2 linked regions of the Neodiprion lecontei genome follow. The protein of the gene in region 1 binds, or shares a complex with, the protein of each later gene. Links are inferred from orthologs where the notes say so. Each region holds a gene or a part of one and is shown on either strand. Other genes may lie near its edges.

Region 1 (7,284 bases):
TTGAAATCAGACTTAAAAAATAGTGGTGTCATTAATTTGTGAAAGAAACATTGATTTTTCCGGATTTTCCCCGTTAATAATAATCCGATCAAGTCGTTTCAGCGCTTATTTTCTTCGTCTTTTGATTCTCGATAATTCGTCTAAGCAAAGCATCAAGATTGCTTTGTTAGTTTTGAAGTTACAAGCGAAAATCGAAAAAACCGATTTTTTGCTTTTAAATATTTATAAAAAATTGATAAATGATAGTTGTGAATGGAAAACATAACAGAACTAAGTACTGTGTTTTGTGTGATAGCACAGTCGGTATCCTAATAGTATTTGTGTCACAGAATCACTCATTTTCTGCTCTATTGATTGGTCTAATCATTAAGCTTCGCTTGATTTTAAATTTATATCTGCCATGTAGCATAATTGCGCAAAACCGTAATCTACGTGTAGTATACGTATAAATTGATAAGCGAGAGGAAATACGAACCTTGATAAAGCGGAACGATTTTCATCTAATTTGCGAACGCGGGAATATCGAATATTTGAAAGCCTGTGAATTGCTAAGCACACCAAACATGTGACACGGGTCATTTTGCAACGGTGAATTAAAACTCAAATCCACGGTAACTTATTGGCCGAGATGAAAAAACTTTACGGAAAGTTGATATCTTTCGAATTTTTTCAATTCTAAGTCAATCAATCGCGGAGGTAATCTTGAATTTAAGGCGGAACTTTAAATATAAAAACGGCAATACCGATTTATTTTCAACGTTTTACCGTAATAAGCTCTAATAATAATTATAATAATAGTGATCGTATTGGGCTGTTTGTATACAATATTTAAACAGCTGCCGCAGATGAATATGTGGCAATAATGCTTCGCACGATGCGCGGCTGTATATCTTGCATGCATTGCGGAGACGCGCGAATGGATGATGTAAGCCGGTCGCCGCATACGATTAAGGCATTTGGTGGACGGCTACAACAGAATCTTTTGTAATGTTGAAAATATATAATATATGTTTATAAATTTCTATTCATATAGGACGAGGTAACACAAAAACATGGCTTCATCGACCTCCGGAACTCAACAACGCACCACTGACGCCACAGCCGACGATAATTTCGTTAAATTCCCTCCCGTTATCGACGGGAAAATAAACACCGCGGAGTTCTTAGCTGCTGCGCAGGGCGTTGTGCGAATCGTCGGTAAGTTAAGTATCACACACACACGCGTCTCGTCTCGCACAGACATCACGCCGCGAACATAACCTAGATTCAAACACCGAGGCGGCATTGGTGCGAATGCACGTGACATTACGATTAGCTATGCAGCGGGTGAGTACCTACTCACCGCGGTTATACTGAGAACCCTTTTTTACTCATTTCAGATAAATTTGGAAAGCTCTTTGCACCGGTCAAATATGACATGCAGGGAAATATTGACGTGAGTTGAACCCTTACTCGATTTTCGCAGTTAAAGCGTTGAATATATTTTACTTACATCTAATTATCACTGAATTCAATGGAAATCTTTGTAGAAATTGAACACAAAGTATGTGGCTGACAAAGAGAAACACTCGACGTTGCATGACATGATCTTGTTGGAAAAAATTTCAGGGAAAACTATAATCGCCACAGATGCTCTCCTCTGGCTGCGAAGGTAGCAAATTAATTAATTCTACAGAATTTCAGGTATCAAATAATACATGCAGGCTTCTTCTCTAAAGTTTGTATCCTTACTACATCACAGAGGCCTCCACATGATCCAGGTGTTCTTTGAAAAGATTATTGAGGATCACAAAACTGGAAAAGCTAGCGATGATCTGGTTGCACTTCTGAAAAAAGCTTACAAAGAAGCCCTGGAACCATATCACGGATGGATGGCACAGCAGCTGTTTGGAGTATGTATGAGCATTAATTTTGGTGGTATTAATTAACTTTCTGTTGCACCATTAATAACTGGCAATTTGTTTTGTAGCTGTTATCAAGGACGGTACCGACACGATCCCAACTACTGCACGCCCTTGCTAATGAGCAAAGGAATAAAGATGACTTGATAATACAAGAGCTAGACGTGTTTTTGGTCATTTTGAAAGAAAATTTGCAAAATCTGCTCACCTTTTACATCGAGCACAACCTAGAAAATGGTGCAAAAGTATAACCAACAGTTACTTCAGTAAATTTCATGGCGAGCTTGAAAAATACTTTAATTTTTTCTTTGTGAACGCCAAGCTTGATTTAACTATGTTTGGTAGATAACATATTATTATCAAGATATTTGAAAATACTTTTCAAGATTTATCTATTTCGGAACTTAATCACGAGTCTTGAATATAGGCTCAGAAGCAAACTGATGATATGTGGTCTTAAAACTTGATCTACAAGTTTTTCCATGTGCAGTTTTTACATTTTAGTACAAACATATTTTTACAACGAATATTTAAAATGTGTTCAACAACAGTTGGATTCACTGCAAACGTGACCAATAGGTGACTGGCTGCTGCTCCGCAGATTAAATCGTGTATTTACACAATTCTGATAGGTGCCAAATGAAACTAGGTAATGAGTGATTGTGGGTCATAAATTTATTACTTTATACCTATGTACAGATGAAAGATATGTATGTATGTTTATGTTTTATACGAGGTTAATGATTGTATAATTGAGTTATGAAATAATTAAGTGATGAATAGTTTAATATTTCATATATACAAGCATTACAGTTCAAAGATATTTCATCGGTCTTACTCTAGTTTTTCATTAATTTCGTACAGTTGTGCGAGGTAAAATCTTTTTGCATGATGATTGGCCGAATTTCTTAATGCAATTGTTCCAGTAATTATTTCAGTGAGGAGGAAAACTAACATAACGCTGTTTACTACATGTTCTCCTCTACCTGGCAGCATCCTACCATCAACAAGAGTAAACATTTGTAGAGGAAATTGTATCAGTGTTGAAATCAGCCAAAAGCAAGCCAACTCGGGAATCTGAAATCACGCAAATATGGTAATTTTCTCCATAACATTTCATTGAAGTTTTTTCAAGTTCACGCAAATACAACGCCTAAACCTTCTCTGCCAAATTTCCAAGGTATCCTAGGTACAGTCGTATGCATTCCGAAACGGCAACAATTACGAAAACGCCAACAGTTATAAATTTGTAAATGTCCGATAGTTTATGGTACTGAAAAAAAATCACAACTTTAGTTAAGCTTAAAGTATTAGATTAAAATATCAATACGTACATTCTTGATAACGAGTCAACTATGGGTAATCAATATTTAACCGGTGATGGGTTTACCGGGCTTTAACGGGGTTAAAATATCAGCAATATTGCTGCTATTCGTTAAGAGTAGTTACTTTTTGATCGAGAAGATTCAAACTGATGAAAAACCAAAACGGAAATAGCCAAGTATTGAAATACAGTGCCATTTGTAGCGGTAAACTGGACTTAATCACGTTTCCTGTAAAATGGCAAAAGTAACGTAGAATACGAACATCAACGCGACGCTGACCATTCCGACATCGTCGAATAGATCGCAAGGTTTATTACCGATGTCATGAAATTCTTTTATTCGATTGTGATAAGCGAGACCTGGAAATATTCTATCTGATGCACTTATTACTGTATCCTTCCACATTGCATAAAAAAAGTTATTAACCTAAAGTGGTCTACAGGTCGCTGTGACAACAAATATTTCTGCAACCACAAACCAAGGATATTTAGAGAGAGTGAGCCCCCCTGATTTAGTAACACCCTTTGACATGGAATAGGTTTTTTTTAACTAATTGTCGAGGTGCCGCGACGGTAAATGCATAAGTAATGTATGACTGCAACTAATTACTTATTGTTAGAGCATTGTACAGTATTACCTGCCGTATCATAAAATCGCACTGAAGTGGTAACTCTGGTACACGGCAATTCGTTGTGCGTTTCGGAACACGTGCTAAGGTTCGCGTCGTGGTCGCGTCACTTACTCGTAGGCCAATGGCCACCAATAGCTACTGCCGCTACTGCGATACATCAAACAGATCCAAAACGGCGTTCCCCCATAGATCCATCAGGGGTGTAAGTTAGGGTTCATCGTTCGATTGTTTTTGTAGTTACCAGGGTACAGTTTGTCGAAGCATGGCCGATAATGTGCTTAGTTTAGATGACATAATCAAGAAATCCAAAATTTCAGCAATGAAAGGCCGCGGGTGAGTTGAGAATTTATCATTTTCTTATTGAAATCTCAAAATTTTTTCTGTGAGTAAAGCTCGTTACTTAAGCCTTACTTCACCATGAATCTTATAACCTTCAAAAACATCTATCGAGCCACAATCATATCTGATGCTCATTAATTACAGCAAGCTTATGATATCTCACCAATATTACAGGTCGAGAAGAGGCATCAACCGAAGTACTCTACGAACTAACGTATCTTCGAGAGGTCGAGGAGGGCCGGTCATTGCGGATGCTAGATTCAAAATCATCCAAAAGAATCGTGAGAAACTCACTGATGCTCGAGATAAACTAGCTCAAATAGCCAAGCAGTCTGATGCCAGGTTGAAGTTGGACAAATTACGTGCCACTCATTTGAAAACTGTCGATTTACCTCTCAGTGGAATTTCTCGTCAAACGGGCCTCAATGGTCGAATTACATTGACGACCAATAAGCTTCATAATAAAACCATGCACCCGATTCCGGCTACAAATTATTTGGCGCCAGGTTCTAGAGCTATGGAGTACAGGGCACCGCCCATGGTCGAAACTTCATACGCTGATGATATGGAAATGAACTTCAATGATGGTGCTCATTTTCTTTTTATCTATTTTCTACTCTAGGAAGACTTGTATATTATACCCTCAATTCGATTGCACATTGAATATCTCCTTGACATAATCTATAATTTTATTTGTATTCAGATATTTTTTCAATTTCTTGCACTGATATTTGCTTTTAGAATGTCTTTTTTTTCAGACTATTTTCTGATTTTACGTCTCTGAACATTCCGAAACATTTAATTCCCTCTAGCAATATAGTTTGTATATTCTCAAAGATTTTCTATCCAGCATTACATAATGATTTTGGATTTAGATTGTGTTATGACAAAATATGAATTCTTACGACACTTGTGGATGAAATTTAACTAAATATTTCAATATGTATCAGTAACATTGATAATCAATTTCAAATGTGTGTTATGACACATGCATTTTGACTGCCTTTACTCAATACCGATGATTCAATCTCATCCATTCTTAGATTACATGATGGATTCAACACCTCTAAGGCGGACTGTCAACAATGAATATGTGCCTGTGCCACCTCCACCACCACCTTCATTCAACTTATCCCCGACCAATGAATACACTTGGGTGAAACTGCCTGGTAGTAGTCTTGGAAGGATGGGTTCTTCTAGGCCAGTTGAGGTTCAGAGACCACGTGACTTTAAAATTGTGGCTCGTACTTCAATGGTAATTACAAAAGTCTATTGCTTACAAACGTAGACTTTGTAAATTTCCTTCGTTTGGCTGAACAATTTTCTGTGACATTTTCACAAGAAATATAAATCTTTAGATTTCGTAAGCATTTAGCTCATGAGGGAATAAAAATTCAATAAATTTCATAATTTTCTGGAAAAGCAGAGGTTTTAAATATTACAATTGTTGGCTGCTTTCAGGGTAAACCAATGGTTACTTCAAAGAGCGATTGGAGTTTTGGATCAAAAGCAAGGTATGTCGTCACTGCTTCATTGGACTAAAGTTTTAATTCATCTCTTGCTGTTTAACTACTGCTGCATAAATCGTCCTTGTATATTTGCAGAACCATATTGACTGAAGATACTATAAATGACAGATACCTGGACATCAGGGGTCGTAGAGACGTTGGTGTTAAATCGCGACTGGATTCATTACCAAATAAACCTCGAACCATGGGTATTTTATCTCGTCCAAAGTCTAGCTCAAATTCGACGTCAGTAACGACTGGTTATCGAATCGTTGTATCAAATCTCCAGGCCAATGTAACTCAGGAGGATATAAAGGTAAACCTAAAATATTCACGTCTATTTTGTTGGTAATTACGACGTGGAAGCCAAATATTTATTGTACAATGCGCCTGTAGTTATGTACATTAGATGCTAAATTCTTGTTACTAAGGAACTGTTCGAGGACGTCGGAGAATTGTTGGTGTCCAGGTTAGTGCGCCCAGGCACAGCTGAGGTGATTTACAAGACATTAAAAGATGCAACGAAAGCGGTGGAAACTTATCACAATCGGCAACTGGATGGACATCCTATGAAATGTTTATTAGTTAATCCACGACCAAAAAATAATCCAACTGGTCCAGCAGTTAGGCCATTGCCCGAGTAAGCAAAATCATATACTTGAAGTAACTAAATTGTAATGATAATTATTTTTGATATCTTCCTGTTCGGCTCTTAACAATCCCAATCTTTGTTCGCTTGAGGCTGTCATTTTAATTTACAGAACAAGACGGAGTGCGAGTTCAAGTTATGTGCAGCCTAGTCTTGGCGCAGTCCATCGTGCACTATTTGATGACTGAACAATAAACAACATATTTGAAGCATCATGAATTCGATACGAAATATATTTATAATTCATGAATTACGCATACACCAATTCGGTATACAAATGATGTTAAAGCGCATCACTGCTGCGACGCATCGCAATGATTGTGATTGAAAAATTTTATTACTTCATGCCTCGTGATTGTTAGAAGTATGAAATACTAATGAGTATTGAACACTTGAATATAAACTCGAACAAAGGGATAAAAGACTTTGAACGAAGATAGAAGATGAAACTGCTCTTAGTAGTTGGTATAACTTCATACCATCCTTGACTCATGAACCGATCAACATCGATTCATCATTCATTTCACATTTAACGATTACTATGTTGCAAGCTAGGTATACATTACTGTACGTCACGCCTGTAGCGATTGTACAATAAAAATGCATAACATAAGCCGTATACTTTACCGTAATAGCATACTAAATGTATGTATCCCACTACATTGTACTTATTCGTTACTAATATTTTACATTGAAGTCCAAATAGAACAGTGATTATGGATCCAAACCCACAATAGATTGCAAAAAAACAATAATGCGTGACTCGAAATGTGACTTCTTTTACACCCCTCTCTACCTTGGGCGGAAGTAAGAAAATATGTACTCTAGGAGAAAAATGGTAGAAACCAAAACTGTAGAGAATTATATTTTCTGTAAGTTTAATTATTACGGTTTTTAGTGAAAAGTTGAAAATAACCGACTTGTTTGACAA
Region 2 (9,864 bases), on another chromosome or scaffold:
TCAACGCTGGAGCCACATGTCAACGGACCGTTTACACCCGACCTTGCTCACCCTATTTCCAAATTGGGTGAGTTCAATTATTTAAGTAAAGATTGACACGGGAGACTCATGATTTTATCGTTCTTTTCTTATTTCACGACTATATACTTTTGATGGCATCATGAAAAAGAAACCTTGTATTCAAACGATAAGATTAACCTGATTGCTTTAATTTGTGTCCTGTTCAACAGAGCTTACTGTTCATTGTAGTATTATATAATCTCCCCTTCCCCCAATATCTTAATGATCATGCAGTTATTCGAATCTACATAGTTTGATTAAGTTGTTACAAAGCGATATTCAATCAATCTCAAACATTTTGTGCTGTGATTGGTATAGATTGGGTTACTCCAGATGCCCGTATGTGTTCGTTACTTAGGCGCTTTCGCATGCTTATGTGGTTTTTAAATTTCAGGTGAAACTGCAAAGAAAAATGGATGGCCAAATGAGATAAAAGTCGGTCTCATTGGATCGTGCACAAACAGTTCTTACGAAGACATGGGCCGATGTGCAAGCATTGCCAAGCAGGCCATGAAGCACGGAATTAAGTCCAAGTCCACCTTCAACGTAACTCCTGGCTCTGAGCAAATTCGTGCCACCATCGAACGCGACGGAATTGTAATATCATATTCCTAATACATATGTTTCGTCGCTAATAATAATAACAGAGAGTAACTGACTTTCTTTGGGAAAGCCATTTTGGTTGGAAATTGTCACAGTAACAACCAATTCTCGTTGCACTTGCAATGAAAACAAAATGCTACTTCACATTTATTTAATCTCGAACTAACTCTGTAACCCTATTAAACAGGCCGAAACGCTTCGTCAATTCGGAGGCGTCGTTCTCGCTAACGCGTGTGGTCCTTGCATTGGGCAATGGGATCGTCAAGACATCAAAAAGGGCGACAAAAACACTATCGTAACATCGTACAACCGCAACTTCACTGGTCGTAACGACGCAAACCCGGCAACTCACGCTTTCGTAACAAGTCCAGAGCTGGTAACAGCGTTGTCAATCGCTGGACGATTAGATTTCAACCCGGTTACGGACAAACTGAAGGGCGCTGACGGCAAAGAGTTCTTGCTGGACGATCCATTCGCTGACGAACTGCCCAGCCGTGGCTTCGACCCTGGCCAAGAAACGTACGACCATCCTCCCGCTGACGGTAGCTCAGTCAAAGTTGACGTCGATCCCAAATCTCAAAGGCTTCAGCTTCTGGACCCGTTCGACAAATGGGACGGCAAAGATCTTACCGATCTAGTCGTCCTTATCAAAGCGAAGGGAAAATGTACGACCGATCACATATCCGCCGCTGGACCGTGGCTAAAGTACCGTGGTCACTTGGACAACATTTCTAACAACATGTTCATCGGGTATGTGGCCGCTATTACGTATTCTTCTTATCAACTTTTAGAAATACTTCTATCTACTTGTTTGGAGGTTTCCAATTTTCCTTGTTTTTCAGTGCGGTCAATGCGGAAAACGGCGAAGTCAACAAAATCAAGAACCAGCTTACGGGAGAGTGGGGAGCTGTTCCCGATGTTGCTCGACATTATAAAAAGAATGGCGTCAGATGGGTAACTATCGGCGATGAAAACTACGGCGAAGGTTCGTCTCGGGAACACGCTGCTCTTGAGCCCAGACATCTTGGAGGACGTGCCATAATTGTGAAGAGTTTTGCTAGGATCCACGAAACCAATTTGAAAAAGCAGGGTATGCTTCCATTGACTTTCGCTGACCCAAGTGATTACGACAAAATCCAACCAACTGACAAGATCAACCTCCTTGGTCTCAAGGATTTAGCTCCTGGAAAGGTTCGTTGATAAAGTTGTTTGACCTAAACGCAAAAATTATATTTCAGATTTGATTCTATTTCCCAGATGAGATCAGTAATTAACACATCTGATTCAGTGCTTGTGATTATTTGTCTTGTTTTTTGATTTGTTTTAGCCTATCAAGGCAGAAATCAAACACAAAGACGGAAAGGTTGACACCATCACTTTGAATCACACGTTCAATGAGCAGCAGATTGGTTGGTTCAAAGCAGGCTCAGCGTTGAACCGTATGAAGGAAGTAGCCCTAGGAAAGTAGAGGGTTAAACGAAACTGAAGAAACGAAGGATGAAGATGTCGAATTGAGAAGTCGAACAATGCCAAAAATGTCAACTAGCAGTAAGCTAGTATGTCACATGTATTGAATTTTCGAAAGCAAATAGGGAAAATTTACGAAATCGTTCGTAGACAGGGAATTTTAGTTCCGATAGAAATTTGATTTTTGAAGCGGCAGTTACGCGTACAGACGGTAGATATTTAGGAAATAGAACAATGCAAATATAAGGTAGTATTCATTACGAGAACTGAAATTTAAGGGAGCTAATTATCACTAAGAATCATGCGATATTAGAGAAATTTTATAATCGGGCTAAAGTTGCATACTTTTTTTTATGCATGTACGATGTACAATAAGTAATGAAACTTCCCTTCAATTGACAAAATTATTGTACGTATTATTGATTATGGATGTGTATATTCAAACTCGAATCAAGACTAGACTCAAATCTAAAATCGGTAGCTACTTTTTAGTCTCACTTCAACGATGCTATTCTGCGTCTTTATAATCCATTGCCAATCATTCAAGTCTGATTTTGCCAACTGAATAAAAGATGAATCGTAAAGACCAGTGCTCCTTGGGTCAGTTCTGTATAAAAAAAAAAAATTGTATATTAAGCAAGTCGGTGATTTAATCTGAATAATAATGCCCATTAGTACATTAATAACTGTTACTTAGGATATCATTTACACAGTAATACTTATTGTATATATTATTCTCTGTATCGATCGATTAAAAAGCAAAAGCTGTCATTTTTAACAGTTTTTGCCGTGTTAATAAAGTTTTACCTAGTATGCGTTAGTAGTTTGAAGTCGAAATTTTTCATTGAACAATTTTGTGGCTACTTCAATACCGATCGTATATTTTAGTAGAGTACTGCAAGTTTATATCCAAAAATAATCATTTTAATAAAAGTTTCACTGGGTTCTTACATTACTTTTAATTCGATCGTTAAATTTATGAAATAAATCAGTTCACCGGGAAAAGTGAAGAGCTATTGTCACTGAGTACCTAACAAAATTTTGATAATTCGTAATGAAAAGCTTGAATTGTCATTTGGTGTAGAATATAAGCGCCTAGCACAATTATCTTTGAAACCACAAATGTATCGCAAGTTGCTTGTCCAAACTTCATCAGGCGTTTTACCCGTTAATCGTCGAAACGCGCGGATATCGTCATGACAACGCAGAATGACGAAATTCACAACAAATAGTAAAGCGAACGCGTAAAAGCAAACCTTTGGTAGTCGATAGAGAAAATATCATCTGATCTGACGGAGAAGTAATTTATATCCATGTCAGTCGAGGGTGAATTTTTCTTATCAGTGACAGGATCGATCGAGTACGCAAACTTCTATGACATTGATAACGTGTATTGCAAATATGGATACCACTTTGGACCGGACTGGAGCATCGTCAGGGTATACACATCACACATTATTGGTTTACTTTCTTATCTGTGTTTTTTTTTTATTTCAATATTCCGACCGCTTGGTTAATTTTCTCAGTACTAACAATTCCATTTCTCACGGAAAAATTGTAAAAATGGTTTTTGTTTTATCCACTATCGTAATTGTACCAATACTTGGCAAAAGTTTCAATTATTATCTACCGTTGCTCAGTTATTAATTTGCAAATTTCTACGCGCTCAATCCAGCGACGACGGCAAAATCATTTATTTATTATCACGCGAGTTATTCAACGATGGAGATAATTTATACATTCCTCAAATACTTGATTTGCATTTTACCTGCAGCTGCCGTGTAACAAGAAGTGATTCGCGTGTTCACATCAGTCGGTAACATTCTGTTAGATATTTTAAGAGTATAAAGTAAGTTGATAAAAACTGATAACGTAAAAGTTACTGATCTGATTTCCGATTTGCGCTAATCATAAACTTCTGTGGGGAGAATTTTTTTTCCATCAATAATCGATGTACATGTCGATGAACGTACCGCGAAATGATTCTTGATTATTCCTGGGTGTTATAGCCATAAAATTTAAGTGCCCAATTAATTACGGGCTAGATGATAAATTTATTTTATATTCAAATGTTAGGCTTCGCGTACAGCACAAGATCCTGCTTGCCTTTAGTCATGTCATTCAAATAACCGCTTTCCAAGCTTTTAATAACGCTACATGTTATAACATACATAATACGGACGGCTTGGTCGATTTTTGCAGAAATTTATTCACCCACTTAATCTTGATAGTTTCAAATAATCTTGATGGAAGGAAAGGAGTTTGGTATACTTTTCTTTTATTGTTATATTCCTCTTGTTTTCTTCCGCTCTCGAAAGAATTACCCATACAGCTCATAACCACATCGAAGTATAGATATCACTTAAGGTTATTAAATTTCGTTGAAAGAATTTCGTCTCTATGAGTAACCAAAGTATTCACCCGCGGTTATACCGCGGCATAAATTGAATGGGAAAATATTCACAACCGGGGATTGAACGCACGTGCTCTTATCGCTCTCGAGATTGGATCATGAGGTAGCTGGTTGTGAGAATTCGTGACTACAATTGAAACGCTGGGAAGAAAAACGTGACAAAAAGCTTTCGTAGGGTATCATCCTCAAAGTTTCCTCTACAGTACATGTAAAACAGGGGTGTATCGCACCGATAATTTTCATTTCTACGATCTCCTCTCAATAACAATTCCGCCGATTTGAATAATATACAGTATGTCGCATGTAGAATTGTAAACCAAAATTTTTCAACTCCACAGGGAATCGAAGAGGGGCTTACGCAAATGAGTAAAAAAAGCACCGACGCTCGCCAGGTTGCTGTTTGGAACTTTCCTCTCGATATTGCGTTCAAGAGTATCAATCCCCAGGGATGTAGGTATAGCTGTAAAACTCATATAAAATTACAAAATAGAAATTAAAAAAAAAAATACAACCGAACAACCACCCTTTACAATGTTTGCCAAGTTTCAAAATGTTTTGACTACAATTAGTATACGTAGAATTTAAAAGATTAAATACTAGACGTAACAATATTCTTATCGCAGCAATTAGCGTGATTACCCGTATCACGATAAGATATCAGACGTTCTCGACATTGAATTTTTTTTTTTTTTTTTACATTTTCGAATAGCAAAATACATCGATTGCACTTACTAAATACCATTTTCCATCTGTTTTAGGGCCTCAGTTGATTCTGTCAGTTTACGGTTTGGACTGTTTTGGTCATGATGTGGTTAGAGGCTACGGAGTTTGTCACTTGCCACTCGCGACTGGCACGCACACAAAAAAGTACTTCAATTTTATCCACATTTTTCAGACGCCCGCTTATATTTGAGTGGAATTGCATCATAGTCGTTCAACTGTCGCGATCGAACCGTGGAATAAAAATTTACACAGCAATTAATTCGGACGTTTACTTTTCAATTTCTGCGAAGCGAGAAACGTCCTTTTGATAAGGCACGTCAGCCGTGCGACTTGCAGAGGCAGTTCAAGAATGACGTGACCCCATTTTTTTCCACTTACCCACTTTGCCCTCGAATATCAGATCTCTTCTCGTTTCCCTTAAGCTTCAATTTTTCTTTAACATGCATAAATAAACGATACGCTTCAATTTGGTGGAAAAAATTGTAGATAATATTTAAAAGTGACCGCTTAATTTTCTGCGCAATCGATAAAAAAAAATAAATAAACAAACAAATAAATAAGTGAACATTAGAATTTACAGCCACTTTTGGCAAGGTATGTAATCAGTTTCATTAGCGCAAACGTTTCGTTTTCAGGGTGGCTGTGTATGTTCCGCAATCTTCTTCGATATTGCAACAATTTATTGCCTGGTTCTCCGGAAGGAGACCGGAACTAATAGATCCAACGATACTCGCAACTGGCGGAGGGCGAGAGCGTAAGAACCATTCGAATACCCAACATCCACAGCTTACACGACACACGACACATTTATTTTCGCACATCGCTTGCCTCGGTTTCTTACCGCGATATAACGCATAAAGCTGAGCGATACTTTTATTTCGTGAGGAAACTCGCGGTCGTCAATGTACATTTTATTCTTCACCAGACTTCACGAACAATATTCGACGTGAACAGAGCTTGGTACAATAATGCTAGAGCTCGTCTTTGGCAAATTTAAAATGCACCTACTGTAATATTAATATTTCCAATTCAGCGCAGTTTTAAATTTGAAAAATTTAGGGATATTATTTTTTCAGTGACGAGGATGATTTCCCAAGGAACTATTACAGTGCGTTTTAACGTATCGATGAAGGATTTTTTTAAACTGGGTTACAGCAACGGCCAGCAGGCGGATAGGTAACACTATACTTTATCGAAACCCTTGAATAAATATTATGCTTTGTATGTTTATTGCCAAAACCCTATATGTACACGTATGCACGTGCGCATGTATTGTATGTTTATATTACAAATAAATAACCTGTAATTAGATGAACCGTATTTATGATATCTCCAGCACATCTGTATACGTCGAGGTATACGTACATCATACGCGGCCTATTCGCAGGTAAATTAGGCATTATATTATGGAATTTATACTAATGGAATCTGCCGGTATTCAAACGTAACGTATTGTCAATTAATATATCCACTTAAGCGTATTTCTCTGTACCGTGCTTTATTATCATAAAAATACTGTTACGGCGTTCATTCAGCAAGTTCCTGATGGCGAACGCATTTGACACTCCTCGCATTACAATATTTATTAAACACATGTTTCAAAAATTTGTTTTAAAACAGTTGCACTTTGCCCGTAAGAATCACTATACTTTTCTATTTTTGCAACACGGTATTTTTTTTTTCCTTTTTCTCCACAGTTTTATCGCACTTTTCGTAGATATTAATATTGCCGGTTATATTATTGGAAAACAATTAGGACCGGATTATTTTACCACCCTGATCGTATACGGTATAACGACTAATATTTGCCGAGCGTCTTTCTTAAGTAAATAATTGTAGACTAATTCTCAACGAAAGCGCTCTCGGTGAACTTTTCTTCTGAGGTATTTACATATAATGCCTGAATTCTGAGGGACCTGGAACAGAGAAATGAGAGAAATTTATTCAGATGTTAGTCCATTGATTGAAATATTATCAGAACCTTATTCGTCCAACTGTGCAACCCAATTCGTTTTCAATTGGTAATTTTGGCGCGTGTTGAATTCTCGGGGACGGTATAACGAGAAAAAGGTCGAGAACGAAAGTTTCGAATTCAATCTTTAATCATTCCCTCGTCGCCGTGCTGGTGGTTCGCATACGTTCGAGAGCATAAAGCGGGGGCGGCTAATTGAGGCTGAATTAATCGAGCGATCCTGTTCGATCACGGTTTTCGTGGTTTGAGGGTAAAATGAGGTATCGGAGTCCAGCTGGACGCGGCAAGTCGCATCGAGTACGCTTTCATTGATCGGCGTCGTTTCGCGTGTAGTGGAGGATCGTTTAAGCGATGAAAATACCGGGGCTTCGGGGGCTTGATCACGATCATCCTCTTTCAAGCACATAGATTAAAGCGTCCGTCGTTTGTCCCACCGATACGCGGTGCTTTCCTAGGAGAGAAAGTACGTCGTTTCACTCGTCGACCAAATTCCCAGTCGTTATACCTATATTACACTGGCTTTGCACAAGTATTTGCCGTCGCGAATCGATCTACGCAGAGTCAAACTGAACGAGCAAAAGGCTAATTGTAAAATAAACACGAAAGGAAAAGCTCAGAGTATCGGTCTGTGGGAAAAGAAAAAGGGTGGATACCTGAATGGCAAATTCTAGGTCGGGAATTATCGCTTTTATCGATTTCTTTCCAAATGACGCACATTGAAAATACGAGTTCCTCCCCTTACCGCAAAACACATAACTTCGAAAACCGCGATCAGTTGTGATTTAAATTTAGACCATTTCTCCAATATGATTCAATAAAATAAAGTACATCACCGGTTGTTTATGAGGCTGAAATCGGGCAAGTTACGTCGCTTTCAGTCGTCGCCTTGTCCGCAGAATATTCGGCAGTAAACGTTGTCGAAACGAAGTATTATAGAAGCTGTGCAACCTTTCCGAAGAGGGCGGTAAAACTCTGCTTATCACCGGCTTGTGCATATAAAGAAGACGGGCGTAATAAGTTGCAATAAAGGCTGCGTAATAAATGCCGAGGACAATAAAGAACACCGCATAATGCAGCGTCGATGCAAGCACCGCCTTGCAGAAGCCGTGAATAAACGTAGGCGTGATGATCTTGCCGGACCGCCGCAGGATCTGCAAGGATCAGACGATCGAGTAGAACGCGCACGTTGATACGATTTAAATACGCGTTCGCGTGTCGGGGATTCTTTGGGATATTAGCCGTTGTTTCATCAGCGAAAGGTCCTTAGAAAAAACGGCGAACAACTACGGTATTCTCATAACGAGAAGTACACAAGAATTTTGCCGAAGGCAACGCGAAACGAACATCGTCCTGACTTGGGATTTTCTTACTCGCGATGCTGCCTTTCAACTCTGACATCCCTGAAACACCGCTGCACTGCTTCCCACGTTCGAAATCCAGACCCTTGGAACTGATTTTTACCGCATTATTTTCGTCGCGTATAATTTGTTGCTCTCGTGATACAATGCGTCGTATAATCACGCGCGAAAAGACCGACGACTTTTCTCGGCCAATTTACGCGAAGCTGATATTGCACGATAAAAATTCACGCAGTAGTGTGAAAATACCAGATTTTCAAATTGCCTCTGCATTGAACAGATAAATAATCGCAGGATATTTGTTGTGCGACCGTCGCGTCGATTGATCGGAAATGCAGTGAAAATCAGTCGAGCGGAAAAGTATATAACTGCCGAATGAAGTACATCCTCAGATATCCACGCTCAATTAATTCCGAATACCTGTACCTCCATATCGAATTCCACGATACTCGTTACGCTCTGTTCGCTGTAATCGAATAGAAATTAGCAATTTTTCCACTCACTGCATCGTTGTTGCGCGTATGTTCGAATTCAATGAGGAATCGAAGGTTGATCGAACAGATGAGATAATCATTGCTCGTGGTTTTGAGCAATTATTTCCAGGCATAAGTTAACCATGCCTGCGATTGCAAACTCATTCGAGTGACGATGAACATGACGATTAAAATAGAATTAAGTTTATCTTCCTAACGCGTCATTAGCATAACGATTACTTGGTTACAATAAAAATCGCCTGGTAAAACTGCATCGGTAAGAAACAAGAATTAGCACGTTTCACCGCGTTTCTTCTTCTTTTTTTTTTTTTTTTTGGTTCATGAGAATAATACCCATATCTCTCGTCTTATCTGCAGTCTTCGACGCGAATTTTCAAGTATATCAGATGTATACGTACGTGTGAATAAATTTAATTTTTTTCCCCCACTTCACTGGGGAGTTCAGTCGGAGGTGTTGCGGTTCAGAGCTCATTTCGTCTCTCGCGAGATATTCGTATGTGAAATGGCGTTTTTTTTTTTTCTTCACACCTAGCTCGTTCCCTCGTCTTTCCGACTTCCTCACGCTTCTTTCTCCTCCTCCTCCGTCTTTCTCCCATCTATTCTCCTGAGAGCCGAATCAAATATTTACGTCGGAAATTCATCCGGTTCAACACGGCCGCGCCTCCAGCTTCACTGCGTCACGTACTGGCGCGGAAAATTGCTCGTCAAATTAAATTCAGATGCCGAAATTCGTTTGGGCATAATATACGATACTTTTAGTCCAATTATTTTTAA

Evidence for each region. Proteins that work in one complex are often made in the same cells at the same time.
Region 2: transmembrane protein 17B (region 1) and B9 domain-containing protein 1-like share a complex: the UniProt entries of both Homo sapiens proteins name them as parts of the tectonic-like complex. The link is inferred for Neodiprion lecontei from reciprocal best matches to the Homo sapiens genes TMEM17 and B9D1.

The regions. Positions count from the first base shown.
Region 1 is NC_060263.1:2,798,095-2,805,378, forward strand, and holds transmembrane protein 17B, read right to left. Parts: upstream 3,858-7,284; 5' UTR 3,632-3,857; coding exon 3,544-3,631; intron 3,455-3,543; coding exon 3,351-3,454; intron 3,175-3,350; coding exon 3,061-3,174; intron 2,998-3,060; exon of another isoform or gene 2,979-2,997; coding exon 2,736-2,978; 3' UTR 2,670-2,735; downstream 1-2,669. Other genes in the region: uncharacterized protein LOC107222077, read left to right, coding at 4,120-4,190, 4,371-4,783, 5,240-5,451, 5,658-5,710, 5,801-6,020, 6,136-6,344, 6,466-6,541. UniProt on the Homo sapiens protein: Transmembrane component of the tectonic-like complex, a complex localized at the transition zone of primary cilia and acting as a barrier that prevents diffusion of transmembrane proteins between the cilia and plasma membranes.
Region 2 is NC_060261.1:40,675,497-40,685,360, reverse strand, and holds B9 domain-containing protein 1-like, read left to right. Parts: upstream 1-3,437; 5' UTR 3,438-3,443; coding exon 3,444-3,569; exon of another isoform or gene 3,570-4,881; coding exon 4,882-4,993; coding exon of another isoform or gene 4,994-4,997; exon of another isoform or gene 4,998-5,301; coding exon 5,302-5,410; exon of another isoform or gene 5,411-5,901; coding exon 5,902-6,020; exon of another isoform or gene 6,021-6,325; coding exon of another isoform or gene 6,326-6,342; coding exon 6,343-6,446; 3' UTR 6,447-6,856; downstream 6,857-9,864. Other genes in the region: aconitate hydratase, mitochondrial, read left to right, coding at 1-67, 455-657, 851-1,413, 1,506-1,854, 1,991-2,131. UniProt on the Homo sapiens protein: Component of the tectonic-like complex, a complex localized at the transition zone of primary cilia and acting as a barrier that prevents diffusion of transmembrane proteins between the cilia and plasma membranes.